3 linked regions of the Canis lupus familiaris genome follow. The protein of the gene in region 3 purifies or fractionates together with the protein of the main gene of each other region. This does not show direct contact. Links are inferred from orthologs where the notes say so. Each region holds a gene or a part of one and is shown on either strand. Other genes may lie near its edges.

What was found.
Region 1: the proteins of TUBA1C (region 3) and TXNDC9 purify together in Homo sapiens (co-immunoprecipitation; 3 studies listed by BioGRID and IntAct, counting the BioPlex papers as one, with this or other methods). This does not show direct contact. The link is inferred for Canis lupus familiaris from reciprocal best matches to the Homo sapiens genes TUBA1C and TXNDC9.
Region 2: the proteins of TUBA1C (region 3) and CCT6A purify together in Homo sapiens (affinity purification with mass spectrometry; 3 studies listed by BioGRID and IntAct, with this or other methods). This does not show direct contact. The link is inferred for Canis lupus familiaris from reciprocal best matches to the Homo sapiens genes TUBA1C and CCT6A.

What each region holds. Positions count from the first base shown.
Region 1 is NC_049231.1:44,392,629-44,398,575, forward strand, and holds part of TXNDC9 (thioredoxin domain-containing protein 9), read left to right. Parts: intron 1-1,358; 5' UTR 1,359-1,388; coding exon 1,389-1,577; intron 1,578-2,745; exon of another isoform or gene 2,746-2,920; intron 2,921-4,480; coding exon 4,481-4,599; intron 4,600-5,913; exon of another isoform or gene 5,914-5,947. UniProt on the Homo sapiens protein: Significantly diminishes the chaperonin TCP1 complex ATPase activity, thus negatively impacts protein folding, including that of actin or tubulin.
Region 2 is NC_049227.1:460,341-466,287, forward strand, and holds part of CCT6A (T-complex protein 1 subunit zeta), read left to right. Parts: intron 1-1,189; coding exon 1,190-1,324; intron 1,325-1,835; exon of another isoform or gene 1,836-1,969; intron 1,970-2,073; coding exon 2,074-2,247; intron 2,248-2,740; coding exon 2,741-2,844; intron 2,845-3,456; coding exon 3,457-3,567; intron 3,568-3,851; coding exon 3,852-4,011; intron 4,012-4,103; coding exon 4,104-4,186; intron 4,187-5,118; coding exon 5,119-5,215; intron 5,216-5,544; coding exon 5,545-5,692; intron 5,693-5,737; exon of another isoform or gene 5,738-5,877; intron 5,878-5,947. UniProt on the Homo sapiens protein: Component of the chaperonin-containing T-complex (TRiC), a molecular chaperone complex that assists the folding of actin, tubulin and other proteins upon ATP hydrolysis.
Region 3 is NC_049248.1:41,311,188-41,317,794, forward strand, and holds the end of TUBA1C (tubulin alpha-1C chain), read left to right. Parts: intron 1-902; coding exon 903-1,125; intron 1,126-1,269; coding exon 1,270-1,418; intron 1,419-3,567; coding exon 3,568-4,542; 3' UTR 4,543-4,653; downstream 4,654-6,607. UniProt on the Homo sapiens protein: Tubulin is the major constituent of microtubules, a cylinder consisting of laterally associated linear protofilaments composed of alpha- and beta-tubulin heterodimers.

The DNA of each region.
Region 1 (5,947 bases), on a different chromosome or scaffold from region 3:
GTTGTAGAGAGTTTGCGTGGGCCAGGCTATATGTCAGTAACTTGGTCAGTGAGTTCACGGTTTATTAAGATTTTCTTCAGTAGTATTTGCAATCGTGTCATAGTTGAGATCAACAGCTTCCTGCTTTCATAAGCAAGTTATAAATTATATTTCTGTGGTAATAACCCATGGGTACACATAAAATTTCCATCTGTTGCTGACAGAAAATATTACATCTTATAGAATGTGTAATTAAGATAGAATTTCCTTTCCTATCTGAATTAGATTGTTTTTAAACTCCTACCTTACATAAAGGAGTGTTAAAAAATCAGTATTTTTAACACTTGGAGTGATACTGTTTCACATCAAAGTTAAGAACACTGTCAGTAGATCCGTACCAGTATTGATCTTTTGTTAGGGCATTGGAGAAAAGTAGTGAAACTAAAGTTTGGGGAACACCAGGCGTAAATTGTTCTTTACCTAATTTGTACATAAATTGTGATGCAGTTTCTCAGAGGTTAAATGAAAATCATTTAGGTAGAGACCTTGAAAAATACGTTGTTGGCTCAACTCTGTTCTATACTGAAGCAAAGTTTGTTTTGTAGATGTATATGTAAAACCTCACTGCACTTAAACTTTACCACATCATTATTCAGTCGTTCCTGCTTTATTTCTCTTCTGGTTTAAACAAAGAAGCACTATCAATTTATGTCACTAGGTAGAACTCCAACTACTCATTACTCTCTGGTCTTAAAGACTTGTTTTTGCTTTGTTGTAGTGAAGCACAAACTAAATCAGAAGCACCTAACCTTTGTTCTAAGTAATATTTGAGTGGTGTGACTATAACCTATTGAAAATTCAATTTTAAAAGATTTCAATAAGGGATGTCTTGGTGGCTTAGTCAGTTAAAACGTCCAACTCTTGATTTCAGCCCAGGTTTATGATCCCAGGATTGTGAGACAGAGCCCTGAGTCGGGCTCTCACCGAACACACAGCCTGCTTAATATTCTCCCTCTCTGCCATCCCCTCCCCTCCCTCCCTCAATCAATCAATCAATAAAAACATTTAAGTAAAAATTCTTTTTTTTTTTAAGATTTAATTTATTAGAGACAGAGAGGCAGAGGGAGAAGCAGGCTCCATGCAGGGAGACCGATGTGGGACTCAATCCCCGGTCTCTAGGATCACGCGTGGGCTGAAGGCAGCACCAAACCGCTAAGCCACCAGGGCTGCCTTAAGTAAAAATTCTTAAGTGTAACACAAAATGTTTGGTTGTCAGAACTCTTTGTAGAGTACAAATTATACACTTGCTAGAATTTTTTAAAATGAGAGAAGAAACTTTACCTTTTTTCTCCCCCCAACTTTGCAAACTTTCTCCCTAGCACCAAGGCTGAACTGTACCATTTAGAAGAATGGAAGCTAATGCATCTGTTGACATGTTTTCAAAAGTCCTGGAAAATCAATTGCTTCAGACCACCAAACTAGTAGAAGAACATTTGGATTCTGAAATTCAGAAACTGGATCAGATGGACGAGGATGAATTGGAACGCCTCAAAGAAAAGAGACTTGAGGCGTTAAGGAAAGCTCAACAGCAGAAACAAGTAACCTCTCTGCCCTGCTTTCTGAAATTACTTTAACAGTATGCTCCTAACAACTTATATATACATGTGCTGAAGTACTTTTATATTTCAGTCCTCATTTCTAGAGTTGTTTTCATTTTTTGCTTCAGAGTACTATCACTGTTAAAAATGTGCTGGGAAAAAAAATAGTTTTAAAGCGCATTAAAAATTAGTTTGTTCAGTATGTTAATCTACAGTCGAGTAAAAGAAACATGCACCCAAGATCGTGTTTTGAGCTCAGATTGGTTGGTTGAGGAGAGAGTGGCCTAGGTAGAGCATAGGAAGCACTGTCAGTGGTTTTCCTTTTAGGTGATTAATTGTAAAGCCAGTTATAATTTAGCTGTACTCATTGTAAGTGAGGCGAGAGCTGTAAGGCCATTGACATGGTGGAAATTATTTCAGGCATTTCCATTGTAACATTTACATGGCTTATTTGTTCAAAAGAATGCATGCTGGGTCACCAAAGAAGGGTGGCCACAACTCTATTCTTGTTGGTCTCTTAGAGTATGAGTGTGGAAAAGACTCTAATCAAAACATTGGGTTAAATTCTGTTTTTGATTTAAAAATGTTTGCATTGCTTTATGTTACACTGTAATAGATTATTATCAGTTCTTATTCCTCTTCAGTTGGCTGTGAATAAAAAAACTTTCTAACTTTTCTAAAGAAACAGGGCTTCTTTGTGCTCCCTGTAGCATCTGTTTGATAATGTTTATACTCGGTATTTATAAGAATTGCTAAAAGGAAAGAATCGTCTATAGTGTGCCTGAGTTTCTATTTTTATATCTTGAGTTTTCTAGAATAGGGGTTGTGTGTGTGTCTATATATGGTTTTGAAGCCAGGAGACTTTTTTAAATATAATGCTAATAATTAAGGTAATGTATGATGAGATTCTGCTACAAACTCCTATTTCATGATCACAGTTAAGTAACACTACTTAATAGGCCTGTGCCAATCAATATTCCTCAACCAAGTACCCTCTTACTGTTATGGCAGCTTGTGACATAGGACTTAGGTAGTGAGCAGAAGGACAGGTGAGATATAGGAAGAGCCTATCCAAAAGCTTGGGTTATAGCCACTAAGTGAGAGCTAGATGCTCAGCTGCCAGCCCTTGGGTAGCTTCAGTCTGCACTGTGATCTCTGCTCATCCTGCTAAATTCCATTCGGCAGATGCCCTGTGGAGCATGAACTCTTTTTTTTTTTTTTTTTTGCATGAACTCTTTAAAAGAGTACAGGGGTGTGCTGAGTGTCTTGGGAAAGATGCCCTGTGTTGGAGGTTCAGAGTAGGCTTGCCTCCGAGGGAACTTCAAAAGGTTCAAGTTTTCCACCTGTTGGTTAAACATATGAGAATTAATAAAAAGAGCTTTTTAAAAAACAAAGAAACACTTTTTTTTTTTTAAGGGTAATGTTATTAGTAAGTCAAGAAAAGTCATGAAATATTACATGCCATTAACGAATTGTATTTGAGAGTTTAAATTGTTTATAAAAGCTTGACCAAAGAAATGTCACATAAGGAGAAAACACCAGGGCTTCCTGTGAGCATCAGCTTAGCATAAGTCCATGTGAAAGGGATTCCAAAGTTCTTAATACAGCCTGTATTAGCTTAAGTCCAGAGGAAGAAAGGAGATGGCACTCCTGCCACCTTCTCAGTGGACCATTTCTGGAGGGCTGCCTATAGACTTCTGAAACCTTTTAAAGGGAAAGTGGGAAATTAGTTCAGAGGAGGATAATCAATAAGAGTAAGAGATGTAAAAAAAAAAAAAAAAGAGTAAGAGATGTAGCAATCATTTCATACGAGAAACGGCCAAAAGAAAATGGAGAGGTAGAAAAGAAAGGACATAGGTGAGACAGAATGTCTGAAGGGCTAACATATAAAAGACATTAGAACTTTTCTCTCTAATCTTAGGTCCAAGCTGGCATCCACAGACCAAAGTTACAGATATATTGCAGTTCAGTGTGAGAAGACCCTTCAAAAAATGAGAGAGTATACATGCAACTGGTTTTGAAGCACCTGTGCCAGACACTGTTAGAGATATTTTCATGTAGACAGTCTTACTTTCACAATTCAGTGAGATAGTTGCTTTGTGATCTCCACTTTACAAATGAGGAAATGGAGACTCAAAAGACTATTAAAATTCTTAGCCTAATAAGTGGTAGAATAATTACTCAAACCCATGCCTTCTACCTGCAAGCCCAATGCTCTTTTTATTAAAACCAGCTGCCTAAAAAAAAGGAAGCAAGCTTCCAATTGAGATGATGAACCTTTCCAGTAGCAGGAAGCTTGAGAATCAAAGGTCTGTCAGGCATGGTTGGTACATTGGGTTGAGAAGTTGAGTTAGATGACTCATGGGATCTGTATTGTTTCTGGACATCATGTGAGAAGACAATATTTTCTTCCTATGATACTATCCCATTGGTGGCCAGAATAGAAGCTCCTACTGCTCTGAGCAAACAGGGCTTTTGAGCTGCAGAGCTGCAGTAACCAACCCCCCTTCTCCCCTACAAAGACCAAGTAGCTTTATCTGATGAGCATAATTTTTCAAAGCTTTGCAGTAACTTAGACCTAATGCTTCTGACTTTAGTTGAGTGCAGAGAAATTAAATGGATATTTACATTTTAAGTCTCCTGAATCTAAATTTTTAAAGTTCTAAGAAAACATGTATGAAGTTACCATGGATTGTCTTAAACACAAACCATGCTGAGAGATAGTCCCTGCTCAGAGACTGTTTGCACTTGACAGTAGAGGCATAGGAGAGTAAATAAGAGGAATTGATTTCTCTACAAGATAAAATCAACTTCATTACAGGATATTATAGTGATTTAGAGACAAAATGTAAAGTACTGAAAAATATGTCAAGTATGTAATATTTCCCTTTTCTCCAAATTAGGAATGGCTTTCAAAAGGACATGGGGAATACAGAGAAATCCCTAGTGAGAGAGACTTTTTTCAAGAAGTCAAGGAGAGTAAAAAAGTGGTTTGCCATTTCTACAGAGACTCCACATTCAGGTAACTTTGTTTCCACCAGTGAGTTGTTTAAAATGATGAGATCTTTGAGTAGAAATACACTAATTTAATAGAAAATTTTCAGAAATTAGAGGGACTACTTTTTAAGTTGTTTCTTGGTACTTCTGTAAAAGTCTGTTAAACAGTTGCTATGTTGAAGATTAACTTAAAACCCATTACACTCTTTCTCAGCATGCAGCTCATGGGGAGACCATAGTTTGGCCAAGCCTTTCATTAGAAGCATCGTTGGGAGTGCCAGACTTGGCTGGAGGAGAGGAAAGTGATTTCTTTTGGATAGCCCAGATCTACAAGCCTCTCTATGGAGGCAGAGTCCTTGTAAAATAAAAATACCCCTAGAAAAGGTTATATCTTAACTCAACCCTTTCTTTAACTCTCAAATTTGATTAGTTGCCAACTTTGAAAAATTGAGAGATACAATTAAAAAAAAAATCCAGATTTCAGATTTTTTAAAAAATCAAATAACTTAATAGGAGGCCTAGAATTCAGTAGGAAAGCAGTTTGCTGATACTGAATAGTAGCTGCCTCCCTAGACAGACACATATTCCAGTGTAGAGTCTCCATCATTCACTGTTGTCTCCACCCTGCCCTCTCCTCCCATTTCCATAACCTGCTCAGCCTTTGTCTTTAACTCACCATCCAGTAACATGGTTACTAATTAACATCTTTCAAGGATTGCCTGCCTGAGATTTACTGATTAAGGTAATATAAATGAAAGAAGAAAAAACAATTTAAAAAAAATTTTTTTTAAATGAAAGAAAATGTTGAGATGGTGAAATCCCTGTAAAGGAAGGTATGGGAATGGATTAGGAAAGAAAAGGGTAGGGGCAGCCTGGGTGGCTCAGCAGTTTAGCGCCGTCTTCAGTCCAGGGCCTGATCCTGGAGACCCAGGATCGAGTCCCACGTCAGGGTCCCCGCATGGAGCCTGCTTCTCCCTCTGCCTCTCCCCTACCCCCCCAATGAATAAATAAATCTTTAAAAGGGAAGAAAAGGGTATTAGAGAAACCCTCTGTCACTGTGGTACTCTATCCTCTCCTATTGGCACACATTTCTCAAGTTGCCAACTTCTGACATACATGGTGAGGTGATACGTTACTATTAGTCTCTAAGATTGATACCATTTGATGTTTATTAGATGTTTTTGACCACTAGATTGTTTTGTGACAGCAGAGAATTTGCCTGTATCATGGTTCACCATGCTCCCAGGAGCAGCAATGGCTGACACATAGTAGGTGCTCAGTAAATATATTTGATGGATGTATAAACAGTGCAAAACAGTGCAACTCCAGGAATACTTACCTTCAAGCAAAAATGAAAACTCAAGAGGTACCTG
Region 2 (5,947 bases), on a different chromosome or scaffold from region 3:
ACTATTAAAATTTGAAAAAAAAAAGCGATTGATATAGGTAGGTACAAAATGGTTTTGCTTTCTCTCTTTAAGAGGGTGATTTCTGTCAACATCCCATCTCTAAATGAAAGCGAGATAAAACTCTGCTTTACTCTAATTGTTTTTTTTTTTTAATTCTTTTTTTTTATTTATTTATGATAGTCACACAGAGAGAGAGAGATAGGCAGAGGGAGAAGCAGGCTCCATGCACCAGGAGCCCGACGGGGGATTCGATCCCGGGTCTCCAGGATCACTCCCTGGGCCAAAGGCAGGCGCCAAACCGCTGGGCCACCTAGGGATCCCTACTCTAATTGTTAAATCCCCACTGACCAAGGGTATGAGACTGTTGAGAAGAGCAGTTGTTTTACTCATCCCTAAGTTTCCAAAATCTAGCACTTAAAAACCAAGTAAAGGAAATGACCCTCCCCCCCGTGTTTTGAGTTTTTTATTGTGTAATACAGTAGATACTCAGAGAAGCACATGAACCCAGTAAGAAGCATACAGTATTATCCATATAATATATTTATCATCTACAAATTTAAATGAGATAGTTTGCAAAATATCTGGCCTAGATTCTTAAACTGTCAGTTTCCCTAAAAACAAAAGGTTGTGGAACTCTTCTGGATTACAGGAGAATAAGGAGATTTAAAAACTAAAAACAGTTCGGGAGCATTGTTTGGCATACAGTGCATATCCTGTTCTTAAAAACCTCTCAGTGATTTAGCTGTCACTAGTGATCTTTGCTCTAAAAGAGAACTTTTTTCTTTTTATTTTTTTATTCAATTCCAAGTAATACTGGAGGCTGCTGGGGTTTAATTTTAGAAGGAACCTGGTTTATTCTCCCAAGAGTCCTAAAGAAGCATGCATGGATTTGAAATTATTTCTTACTGTTAATTCTGTTACCTTCAGTAGACCTTAACAGTAAGCCTCAGATTTCCTCATCAGTAAAGTGGAGATAATCTTCTCAAATCTATATGTAAAAATATTTGGGTTATCATAAATTGATATACAAAATAGTTAATAGTGAGTTTTAAATCAGCATGGTATATAGCTGAACACTTGGGCAGTTTATGCAAATCGATGCATTTAAGGAGACCCTTCACATGCTTTAAAGTATATTTGGAGTATTTTCACTGAAGTAATTCTTTTTTTTCTTTTTTTCCACTTTCAGCAAATTCAACACCCAACAGCCTCCCTAATAGCCAAAGTAGCAACAGCCCAGGATGACATAACTGGTGATGGTACCACATCCAATGTCCTAATCATTGGAGAGCTACTGAAACAGGCGGATCTCTACATTTCTGAAGTATACATGATTCTTGTGTTGCCGGAAATTTCTATAAATTGAGGTGTTAATAGTAGCTGAGGCCAGATAGTACAAGGTAAAGAGTAGGGGGCTTAAATCTAGGAACCAGAGCCTATATCCTGGTCTTAATACAAGTTTATTGTGATCCTGGACAGATTAAGGAAACTTCCTTGGCCTGCAGAGGTTTTTTTGGTCAAGTTGTATTACATATTATTTATTTACATATGTCTGTAACAGCTTATTAGTTGAGATCTAGAAACAGGATGTTCAGGAGTAGGCATATTTATAAGGAAAACCAACTAAAACAAGTTTAATTAAGAATTACAGAATATTTTTAGCCTTGAGTAGTTTGAAGATTAAAGCAAACCTCAGTAGTGATCCAATTCTAAGAAAATCTTGGGCAGAGAGAAAAGGCAGACCCTTTGCCTCTGTTTTGTTAGTAATTGATGTAAATTGAAAAGATAAATGGTCCTATTGAGTACAGTTTTGAGTTTTAGACGTTCCCTGTGGTCTGCACAGTGAACACCCAAGTGTACTTTATAGTTCCCTTGGCTTTGATTCTGTGCTAGAGCAATGTCTGTTCTTTTCCTCTGCATTGAAAGGACTATTTATCCTTTTAAATGTATTCAAAAAGTCAGCACATTATATTCAAGCATGTGAATAATCTAGAATATTCCTTTAAAACTTACTTTAACATCTGATTGAAGAATTCCAGTGTTAGTGGTGATTATGTGATTGTATGTTTATAGGGTCTTCATCCCAGAATAATAACAGAAGGATTTGAAGCTGCAAAGGAAAAGGCACTTCAGTTTTTGGAACAAGTCAAAGTAAGCAAAGAAATGGACAGGGAAACACTTATAGATGTGGCCAGAACATCTCTACGTACAAAAGTGCATGCTGAACTTGCTGATGTCTTAACAGAGGTATGTTAAGTGTGGTATGTGTCTGGTAGTATACACCTATACTAAAAACCCCTGGTGTATTTTCTAGTTGGAATTGCAAGGTGCTATCTAAAACCTTCACAGTATCATGCCATGTGAAATAGTTTTTTTTTGTGGCAAAGAGCAGCAGATTTGTGTTCCTAAAATAATAGTATACCTGACCGTGTTATGAAAATACAATTGGAGCTTTCATTAAAGATTAATAAAATTGAGATTTCATTATAAAAAGGTTCATTGATATTTTTAATAGAATAGTAGGGATGTCCGTGATTCTTTATACATAATTATAAGTTGAGATGTCAGAAACGTAAATGATTTCAATCCTTTACAAATAATGTATTCTGTTACCTCGAAGAAAAAGGCTTAGGTCAATTCAGAGATTTTTAAAGAAAAGTGAACTTCTCTGAAGAAAAGCAACGTAAGCATGTGGACTTCTGCAAATCAAGATCATTTAATGGTTATGCTCTCATTGTAGGCTGTAGTGGACTCGATTTTGGCCATTAAAAAACCAGATGAACCTATTGATCTCTTCATGGTTGAAATCATGGAGATGAAACATAAATCTGAAACTGATACAAGGTAGGTGATAGGATGCTATGAAATATTTACACAATGTGTTTACAAATTTATAGGCACTTTATACAGTACATGTTTTTTGGCTGATTTCCTTTTCTTTGAATTTGTGTGTATTGCCTAAATGAATATTTAGTTTGCTCAATTGTGTTTCATCTTGAAGTTACTAATGATGTGCTTATAGTCAGAATGACTGTAAAAAAATGAGCTATGTCAGTGATTTATTGAACTGTGGGTTACAAAGCATAATAGACTATTGGGAAATTTCTAAAATATATATTCCATTTTAAAAACATAGTTCAAAAGTCATTTTAAAAGGAGGTGATCACAATTTGAGAGGCTACCAGTTGCAGCTGCCTCTCTGCAGAATTTTCTGTACAAGATAAGAGTTACTACTTTTATTTTGAATGGCTTGTTTTTGTACTGTGTTCTGGATATTGCTTTTTCATAATCGAACCTGCCTAGGTTTCATCCAAACAGTCTTTTTCAAAGACTCAAGTAATAAAGTCATGTGAAAATTATTAATGCAGCTTCAATTCAGTTATGTGAATTTTGTTAGTATATATTATGTATCATTTGGAAATCAATAACGAAACAATTTGTTACGTGTTTCAACAGCTTAATCAGAGGTCTTGTTTTGGACCATGGGGCACGGCATCCTGATATGAAAAAAAGAGTAGAAGATGCATACATCCTCACATGCAATGTGTCCTTAGAGTATGAAAAAACGTGAGTTTACAGGCCATACAAATGGAATAGGGAGGTGGAGGAGCTTGGTACTTTGGGCAAGTCACTTTGAGATTTAAGTTTCACCACTGCAAGGACACTAACGCCTCAGTTGGGTTCGGGTGAATTAAAGGAAGTAACCTTTGAAAACATACCAGGGGCAGGATTGGAACTCAGTGGCTGTCTGTTAAGTCTCAAGACTAACACAGTTTCTGAGGCTGCTGGTTTATCTCCTTAAAAAATAAACATTGTCCTTCCTCCCCCATAACTTTTTTTTTTTTAAATAGAGAAGTGAATTCTGGGTTTTTTTACAAGAGTGCAGAAGAGAGAGAGAAACTCGTAAAAGCTGAAAGAAAATTCATTGAAGATAGAGTTAAAAAAATAATAGAACTGAAAAAGAAAGTCTGTGGTGATTCAGATAAAGGATTTGTTGTTATTAATCAAAAGGTGAGAATGAAATTTTGCTTCATAAATGAGTCTGTATTGTGCATTGCTATTTTTAAGATGACTTCTATTGTAACGAACTGTTTTTGTTGTAGGGAATCGACCCCTTTTCCTTAGATGCTCTTGCGAAAGAAGGCATAGTAGCTCTACGTAGAGCTAAAAGGAGAAATATGGAAAGGTATGGATAACATATTACCTTAGATATGTAAATTTTTACTTAGTTTGTAAGTTACGTGGAATTACTACTTTTTCTTGTTCCTACTAAGTTTTTCCTTTTTTATTGTGAATGAAAAATATATATAATTTATTATTTGGCTTATCTTTTCAGATGTACAATCCAGTGGCATTAGGTTTCATTCACGTTATTGTGCAACAACCATCATCATTCATCTCCAGAACTTTTTCTTTTTTTTTTTTTTATCTTCCCAAACTGAAATTCTCTCATGAATGAAACAATAACTTTCTCTTTCTTTTCCCTCCCCCTAGTAAATACTTTTCTACTTTGCCTTTATGATATTGGTACCTTATATAAGGGAATCATGCAGTATTTGTCCTGTTGTGTGGCTTATTTTATTTAGCATGTTTTCAGAGTTCATCCATGTTGTAACATGTATTAGAATGTTGTTCTTGTTAAGGATGAATAATATTCCATTTGTATGGATATATCTATCACCTTTTCATTTATCAGTGGACATTTAGGTTTCTCCCTTTTGGCTGTTGTGGATAATGCTGTGAACATTGGTGTATGCTTTAGTTTTAAACCATGACATGTATATGTACATTTACTATGTCAAGAGACAGCATCAAGGGGTTTCAAAGAACTGCTTTTTCCCCCAGAGCTCACCACGGTAAAGAATTCTTGTTTTATTTATAGATTTCTTATCAGAAGAGTATTTGTGGACTTTGAAAGAGTGGGTTAAATGTCAAGTTAGGATAAAAGATGGTTTTTAACTTGGTGGTGGTGAATTTGAAGGTTTGAGTTAAAATAACATTTTGGCATATTTAATTTTAGTGTGTAATTCTGAAAGATTGCTTCCTAAAAATTATTAATCTCTTTAAACATAACAAAGCTACTTAATATGTCTCCTTTAAAATACTTCAATATTTCAGGCTGACTCTTGCTTGTGGTGGAGTAGCTCTAAATTCTTTCGATGACCTAAATCCTGATTGTTTGGGACATGCAGGACTTGTCTATGAGTATACGTTGGTAAGTGTATTTCTTTTCTGAAGATAATATGATAATGTTCTTTGGTTCTTGAATTCTTCGGTAGTAAAAAAAAATTCATTCAAACCTAGGATCATATTCTTGCTTTGTTTACATACATTTTGAAGGTTATGTGTAGTAATGATAAGGCATTGATGGGGAAAATCACATTGCTTTTATATGTGACCTTTTTTTATGAAGTAATTTGCTTTAATGTGATGGGTATGTTGTTCCCTTTTTAATATGTTACTTACTCTTTTATAAGCTCCTCTAGTCGTTCCCAGTCTTGGTACAAACATACCCTATTTTGAAAATACCTCTTTTTCACATAGGGAGAAGAGAAATTCACTTTCATTGAGAAGTGTAACAATCCTCGCTCTGTCACATTATTGATCAAAGGACCAAATAAGCACACACTCACTCAAATCAAAGATGCAATAAGAGATGGCTTGAGGGCTGTTAAAAATGCTATTGATGATGGTAAGATGCTTACTGTGTTTATATTCTTTTACAAGTATAAAAAAAGCATGGCTGAATACTGTGTTCTTTTTATCAGTAGTTTACACAGCCAGACACCATGCAAAAGTAAAGTGTTCCCTTTAAAATGCCTCTAATGGTGTGCTAAGCTTTTTCATAGCATATCATTTTTAAAAGTGAATACAAGTAGGTAACCTGGGTGACTCAGTGGTTAACTGTCTGCCTTTGGCTCAGGGCGCAATCCTGGAGTTCAGGGAT
Region 3 (6,607 bases):
TCTGGGGGCATAGATTCTGTCTTCGTGGCCTTATTTTACTAGGCAGGAATGAGTTTGGTAACTTATAAATGATCTTGCTCATCAAGTAAAGGAAAACAAACATTTTCCCAATATCATTAAGTTCTTGACACCACAGAATTCTTCCCACAGTGCTAGAGATCTACGTATGTATGTTTGGGTAGGAAAACTAATTTCTTAAGCTATTACTCAGGTCTTCTGGCTTTTATTACCATCTGTCTCCAACCTTGCCTAATCAAGAGGTGTTGATAGTGAAGGAAGAATGTTCTTCCTTAAGGTTGAGTTCTTCCACGGGGCTAAAAAAGCTGCCTCTGACCACAGTTTTTAAAATACAGCTAACTGCTGCTTATCTGGCATTTTCTCCATGAGTCATATGGCTGTAGTTTGCTGGTTTAAGCTGGTTTTAGAGGGAGAGGGAGAAGCTCTTGTCTTTTAAAGAATAGGATTAAAGAGGGACCAGAATGAGCTCAACGGTTGCACAATCACACAGAATGAATCAGAGCTGGAAAGGGGGAATTTTGCATGACTTTAAGGAATCAGCAGGCATATTTCCCAGGAGCTGGGGGAAATGCATTGCTATAGAACTGGCTTAAGTCTTTCTAAAATGGGAGAAACCTGACCTTGAATATCTAATGTGACTACAAAGCAAGGGTCTGATCTCTGGTCTTGCCTAGTAGTTCATTAACATATCTTTGGTTTTGCAAAGCATTTTCTCTGAATTAGTCAGCAATGGCTGTTGCTTGTGAAATAAACCTTGGGCAGGAGTGACTTCCAGAAAGGTGATGATCTATCCTGAAGGTTAATTAGTCACTTAGGTATGAATCATTCCTGAATGTCCCATCTGATCTGTCATATTCTGACATTTTCCTTTCTTCTTGCCACAGCGTGAGTGCATCTCCATCCACGTTGGCCAGGCAGGTGTCCAGATCGGCAATGCCTGCTGGGAGCTCTATTGCCTGGAACACGGCATTCAGCCCGATGGCCAGATGCCAAGTGACAAGACCATTGGGGGAGGAGATGACTCCTTCAACACCTTCTTCAGTGAGACGGGCGCTGGCAAGCATGTGCCCAGGGCAGTGTTTGTAGACCTGGAGCCCACAGTCATTGGTGAGTTGGCCTCAGTAACCCAAGTGAGCTCCCGGGGCACTGGGGCAGGAGGTCTGTCTGAGGCTCCATTGACAGACAGCCTGGGGGTGAGCAGGGTCATGCAGGTTGTTAGTGATGGGTGGCCACCTTGTTTTCCTTTTCCAGATGAAGTTCGCACTGGCACCTACCGCCAGCTCTTCCACCCTGAGCAGCTCATCACAGGCAAGGAAGATGCTGCCAATAACTATGCCCGAGGGCACTACACCATTGGCAAGGAGATCATTGACCTTGTCTTGGACCGAATTCGGAAGCTGGTAAACATTGTTTTATTTAGAGTGGGATGAGAGTTTTCTCTTACAGCTTTAAGAGAGACCACACCAGAGGAGTCCTCCTTTCGCACACTAAAATGACCCTTTGAGTGCTTACGAGATTTTAAACCAGATGGTCCTGGGTTATGGGATAAGTATTTGGGGCAGAGTTAAGTGCTCCCTTGCCTATTTCTATGTCTTATAAGGCAGACTTGGCAATTGCTCAAGGAAGTTGGGGCAATTTACCTAAAGTCAAGGTGAGAACCAGAGAGCCTTTTAACAGTTGTATTGATATTTAAGACTATTAAACATCTTTGTTCATAATAATTAACTTCCCTGCTTCAAGTTCAGATGCCCCTGTTAGGTCCTCTTAGTCACATTGAATAGGTGGCAGACTGACATGTAACTAATCGATCAGACTCCAAAAAAACGGATTACGTTACATTTGGTGCCTTACATTAATACAGAAAGTTCAGAGCACAAGAAGCTAGTATAATGCTGACTAGAAATGGCACATGCTGGAAACTTCCAACCACAATGAAAGTGGAATCAAGAGAGCTCCCCTATTAGAGGCTAGTGTCAATCATTGAAACTTGGAAAGTATTGAAATATAATCACAGAAAACAGTCGACTTGCTTTTCCACTAGAGCTCAGGGCCATGTGGACTGGCACCGTGTCAGAAAAATCTTGGGCCACAGTATTCACATCAGTAAAGTTGATAAGTGTTTTGTTTGGATCATTTTAATTAAGTCTGGCAATCAGATGGCTCTTTGCTCCTCAGGCATGTGGGCAGCTTGTAAGTAATTAACCAAAAATTAAGAATAAAGGCTTGGGTAGAGTAGCTTGTCAGGAAAGTCACATTCTAAGCCTAGCCACAACTGGTCTAGTCTGAAAAGAATGGCCTTGCATCATTCACAACTTGAGACTTTTCCAGATGTTTATCATAGTTGTCCTAGCAAAATTGGGGTAATGGTTCCTATGTGTACAAATCAAGCTTCAGCTACGAGCACTGACTTGGAAATCAGGACCTGCCTTTAGGGACAAATAAACTGAGTAAAACCCATGAAGGGTTCTGGAGTAAAGCTGATTACCAAAACAATTGTATTTGTCCTTGGTGTTGTTACTGTGTCCATAGGACGCTTAGTGGATTTAATTGGTAGACTGGAGTCTGCCCTGTACATTGATCCCATTCAGAGTGTGGACCCACAGGAGAAGTAACTGAGCGATTGGTAGAGAATTCCACAAATCTCAGCACTTTCGAGAAGTGACGATTGTCAGCAGAAAAGTCAAGATTATCCTTTCTTAGAACAGCAGTTCGCTTATCAGAATGGCTCAGTTAAGTGGTGGAAAGCCCCAGGGACACTAGGTCTCGCAGGACTGCACGTTACCTTTTGCAGAATCAGTCAATAGGCTTTCTGCTGACTCCCATCGTTCTCGACAACCTGAGGTAGGTTACTATTCTAATTAATAAATGCGAAAACTGAGATTGAGAACTAAACTTGGTCAAAGTCACACAGCAAGGAACTGGTGGAGCCGGATCCAGACCCAGCCAGCCTCCAACACCAGGGCATTGGAACTCGGCTGTTCTCCTATTCCAGCTCAAAAAGTAGCCGCCAGAGTTTTATAAGACCTTTATTGTGTGGGGCTGGTGGTCTCGGGCCTGCCCTTGGTGGCTCTCCAACTGTGAGAAGTTACCCTTGTTCTGCAGTCACAGCAAGGGCACCAGAGGTTGCCTTTCTAGTTAACTAAAACTTTGGCCTTGCATCCATCCCAGACCTCACGATTCCTTTGTCTGCAGAAATGAAAATAGTTCATTTTCAAATAGCTGATATAGCAGATTTTCACCCCTAGGAATTGTGAAGTTTCTCTGAATTTTAGCACTTAGAAGCTCACTACTATCGCTTTCTTGGCAAATATTGTTCAGTCTTGTTTGGAAGATTAAAAAAGATCTCCATCGGGCACCTGGCTGGTTCGGTCAGAACATGTGACGCTTGATCCTCAAAGTCCTGAGTTTGAGCCTTACATTGGGTGTTGAGATTACTTAGATAAATAAAAAACCTAAAATTAAAAAAAAAAATCTCTACCAATATAATTACGGGTTCAGAGAGGTCCTTGCAGCTTTCACCAAGGCTAAAATTAACTTTTCTTTTTGCAGGCTGACCAGTGCACGGGTCTTCAGGGCTTCTTGGTTTTCCACAGCTTTGGCGGGGGAACCGGTTCTGGGTTCACCTCCCTGCTGATGGAACGTCTCTCTGTCGATTATGGCAAGAAGTCCAAGCTAGAGTTCTCCATCTACCCTGCCCCCCAGGTGTCCACAGCTGTCGTAGAGCCCTACAACTCCATCCTCACCACCCACACCACCCTGGAGCACTCTGATTGTGCCTTCATGGTAGACAATGAGGCCATCTATGACATCTGTCGTAGAAACCTCGATATTGAGCGCCCAACTTACACTAACCTTAACCGCCTTATTAGCCAGATTGTGTCCTCCATCACGGCTTCCCTCAGATTTGATGGAGCCCTGAATGTGGATCTGACGGAGTTCCAGACCAACCTGGTGCCCTATCCCCGCATCCACTTCCCTCTGGCCACATATGCCCCTGTCATCTCTGCTGAGAAAGCCTACCATGAACAGCTTACCGTAGCAGAGATCACCAATGCATGCTTTGAGCCAGCCAACCAGATGGTGAAATGTGACCCTCGCCATGGTAAATACATGGCTTGCTGCCTGTTGTACCGTGGTGATGTGGTTCCCAAAGATGTCAATGCTGCCATTGCCACCATCAAGACCAAGCGCAGCATCCAGTTTGTGGACTGGTGCCCCACTGGCTTCAAAGTGGGCATTAACTACCAGCCTCCCACTGTGGTACCCGGTGGAGACCTGGCCAAAGTACAGCGAGCTGTGTGCATGCTGAGCAACACCACAGCCATTGCTGAGGCCTGGGCTCGCCTGGACCACAAGTTTGACCTGATGTATGCCAAGCGTGCCTTTGTTCACTGGTATGTGGGTGAGGGCATGGAGGAAGGAGAGTTTTCTGAGGCCCGTGAGGACATGGCTGCCCTGGAGAAGGATTATGAGGAGGTTGGAGCGGATAGTGCTGAGGGAGAGGATGAGGGTGAAGAGTATTAACCTGTCCGCTACAATTTTACACTCCGTTGTCTTGGGACTGTCTTATTTCTGTTGTGGAAGCTGTCTGTTGTGGTCCTAACTTGTCAATAAAAGTGATGTTTCTATTTTAAATGTCAGGCTGGCTTCTGTATCACAGTAAATACTAGTCTGCTTATTTAAGGCCAACTGGGGATGGAGGAGGCTGGCAGGGGATCACCCAATCATTTGATCAACACTTCAAGTGGCTTCTTTGTGCCATGCACTGTGCTAAGTGGTTTGGCTGTTTCACTTAATTCCTGGATTGATGAGTGGTGATAAAATCCTATCATAAGTGAGGCAGCAAGCTGAGATTGGGCTCCTGCTTCTCAGACTTAAGTGTGGACATGAATCACATGTAGATAGTAAGATGTAGATCCAAATCTGTAGGTCTGAAGTGGAGCTTAGATCCTGCATTTTTTAGCAAACTTCCAGCTCGTGCTCTTGGTCTGCTGGGACTACATGTGAAGTAGCAAGAGGTTAGGTAACGCAGCTAGTAGATGGTGGAGCCAAGATTCAAGGAACCAGCCAGACTAGCAAAACTTGCCGTCGGGATTTAATAATGTTAGTCACGTGGGAAGGGGTTGGAATTGTGCTGATCTATTCCATACTTAGACAAAACCTACAATGGCAAATAAGACTGTACTTTAAGACATTACTGCTTGGAGAAAGTGGAGCTGGCTGAGACACAAAATTACAGTAGTCACAAGTTACGGTATTGGTACCTGACCCAGTTTAGGTCATGGGGAATATCTGTAGTAGGAAAAAGGAACATTGAATGATGTATGTGTAGGAAAGATTGGAGAGGGAAGATCCCCTAATTTAGACCCTCTTCCAAGTACATGTTAGAAGAAGTGTGGTTGTTGAGAGCAGGAGGGAGTGGAGGGTGGGGGAAGAGGCATGCATCAGTGGCTGCACAGCGTGGTGATGGGTACTCAGGTACCAGTTGTGTGGCCCATAAGGATGAATAAAGCAAAGGGAAAGGGCTGAGCCTCAGGCAGAAGGGAGGAACCAATTTCGGTGCCTGGGTACCAGCCTGAGAGGGAATGCCAAACAGGCGGCAGGAGATGGGGACCGACCGGTACAGAGTTGCAGATGTGTTCACCTTTGCTCCATGACTGACTGTATTCCACTGAGGCTCAGTTCCCTTCTTTCTTTTCCCACTGGTATTTTCACCCCTGACTCTGAGGAAATCATCTAAAAAAACATGCATGTTCCATCTGGGAGCACAGCATTGCTTCCTGCCCAAGATATTTCAATTTCGTGCTCCCAGAGGGTCTTCAGCTTTAGCTTTCATCATTAGAGCAGCCAAGGTTTTAAAAGCCCTTCAGGGCAAGGCCCAGCCCTGACCCGTCCTTGAGCACCAAGGCAGCAATTGCTACTTATCAGATGGGCCAGATTCCTCCTGCCAGACTGTGGGGGGGGGGGGGGGGGGGGGGGTCTGGGATGAAAATGAACCTTGGAAAGGCCAGGCAGCCCAGCCACGGAGAGGCACCTGGAGATTTTCCCAATTTGAAAGATCTGCCAATCACCACAGTTGGAGCCCTGGAGGAAACTGGATGCTCATATGCGAGAAGAAGCAGATACATCATCCAGCTTCAGCTGAGCGTGACCCCTCATGGTACCTGAGAGGTCCATTCTCTAAACCAGCATGTTCCAAGCACAGTGCCCGAGAATGGGGTTTAGGGGTTGCCAAGTATAATCCCTCAGTCTTCAAAACAGCCTGGTGAAACCTGAAAGACAGCCTGAAGCCCCTGGGGCCAATCACCCCTGGCCAGGAATGACCCCTCCAATGACCTCTGTAAACCTTTACAGATAAATTATTTTCTACATGTGCCAAGACGTGAAAAATGTTGGAAACCTTTAAGCAGCTACAATAGTGTGGAGGTGAAAGAAGGTGAGAGAAGAATTTAGTTGAGAAAAAATATTCCAGTGGATCAGAGCCTGGGGAATTGGAAGAGCAAAGGGCTAGGGGCTGGGGAGGGATCTGTCCTTGCATGATTTTTTTTCCCCCTCTCCTGTGTTGGTGAGAGAGTGAATAGAAGTTAGC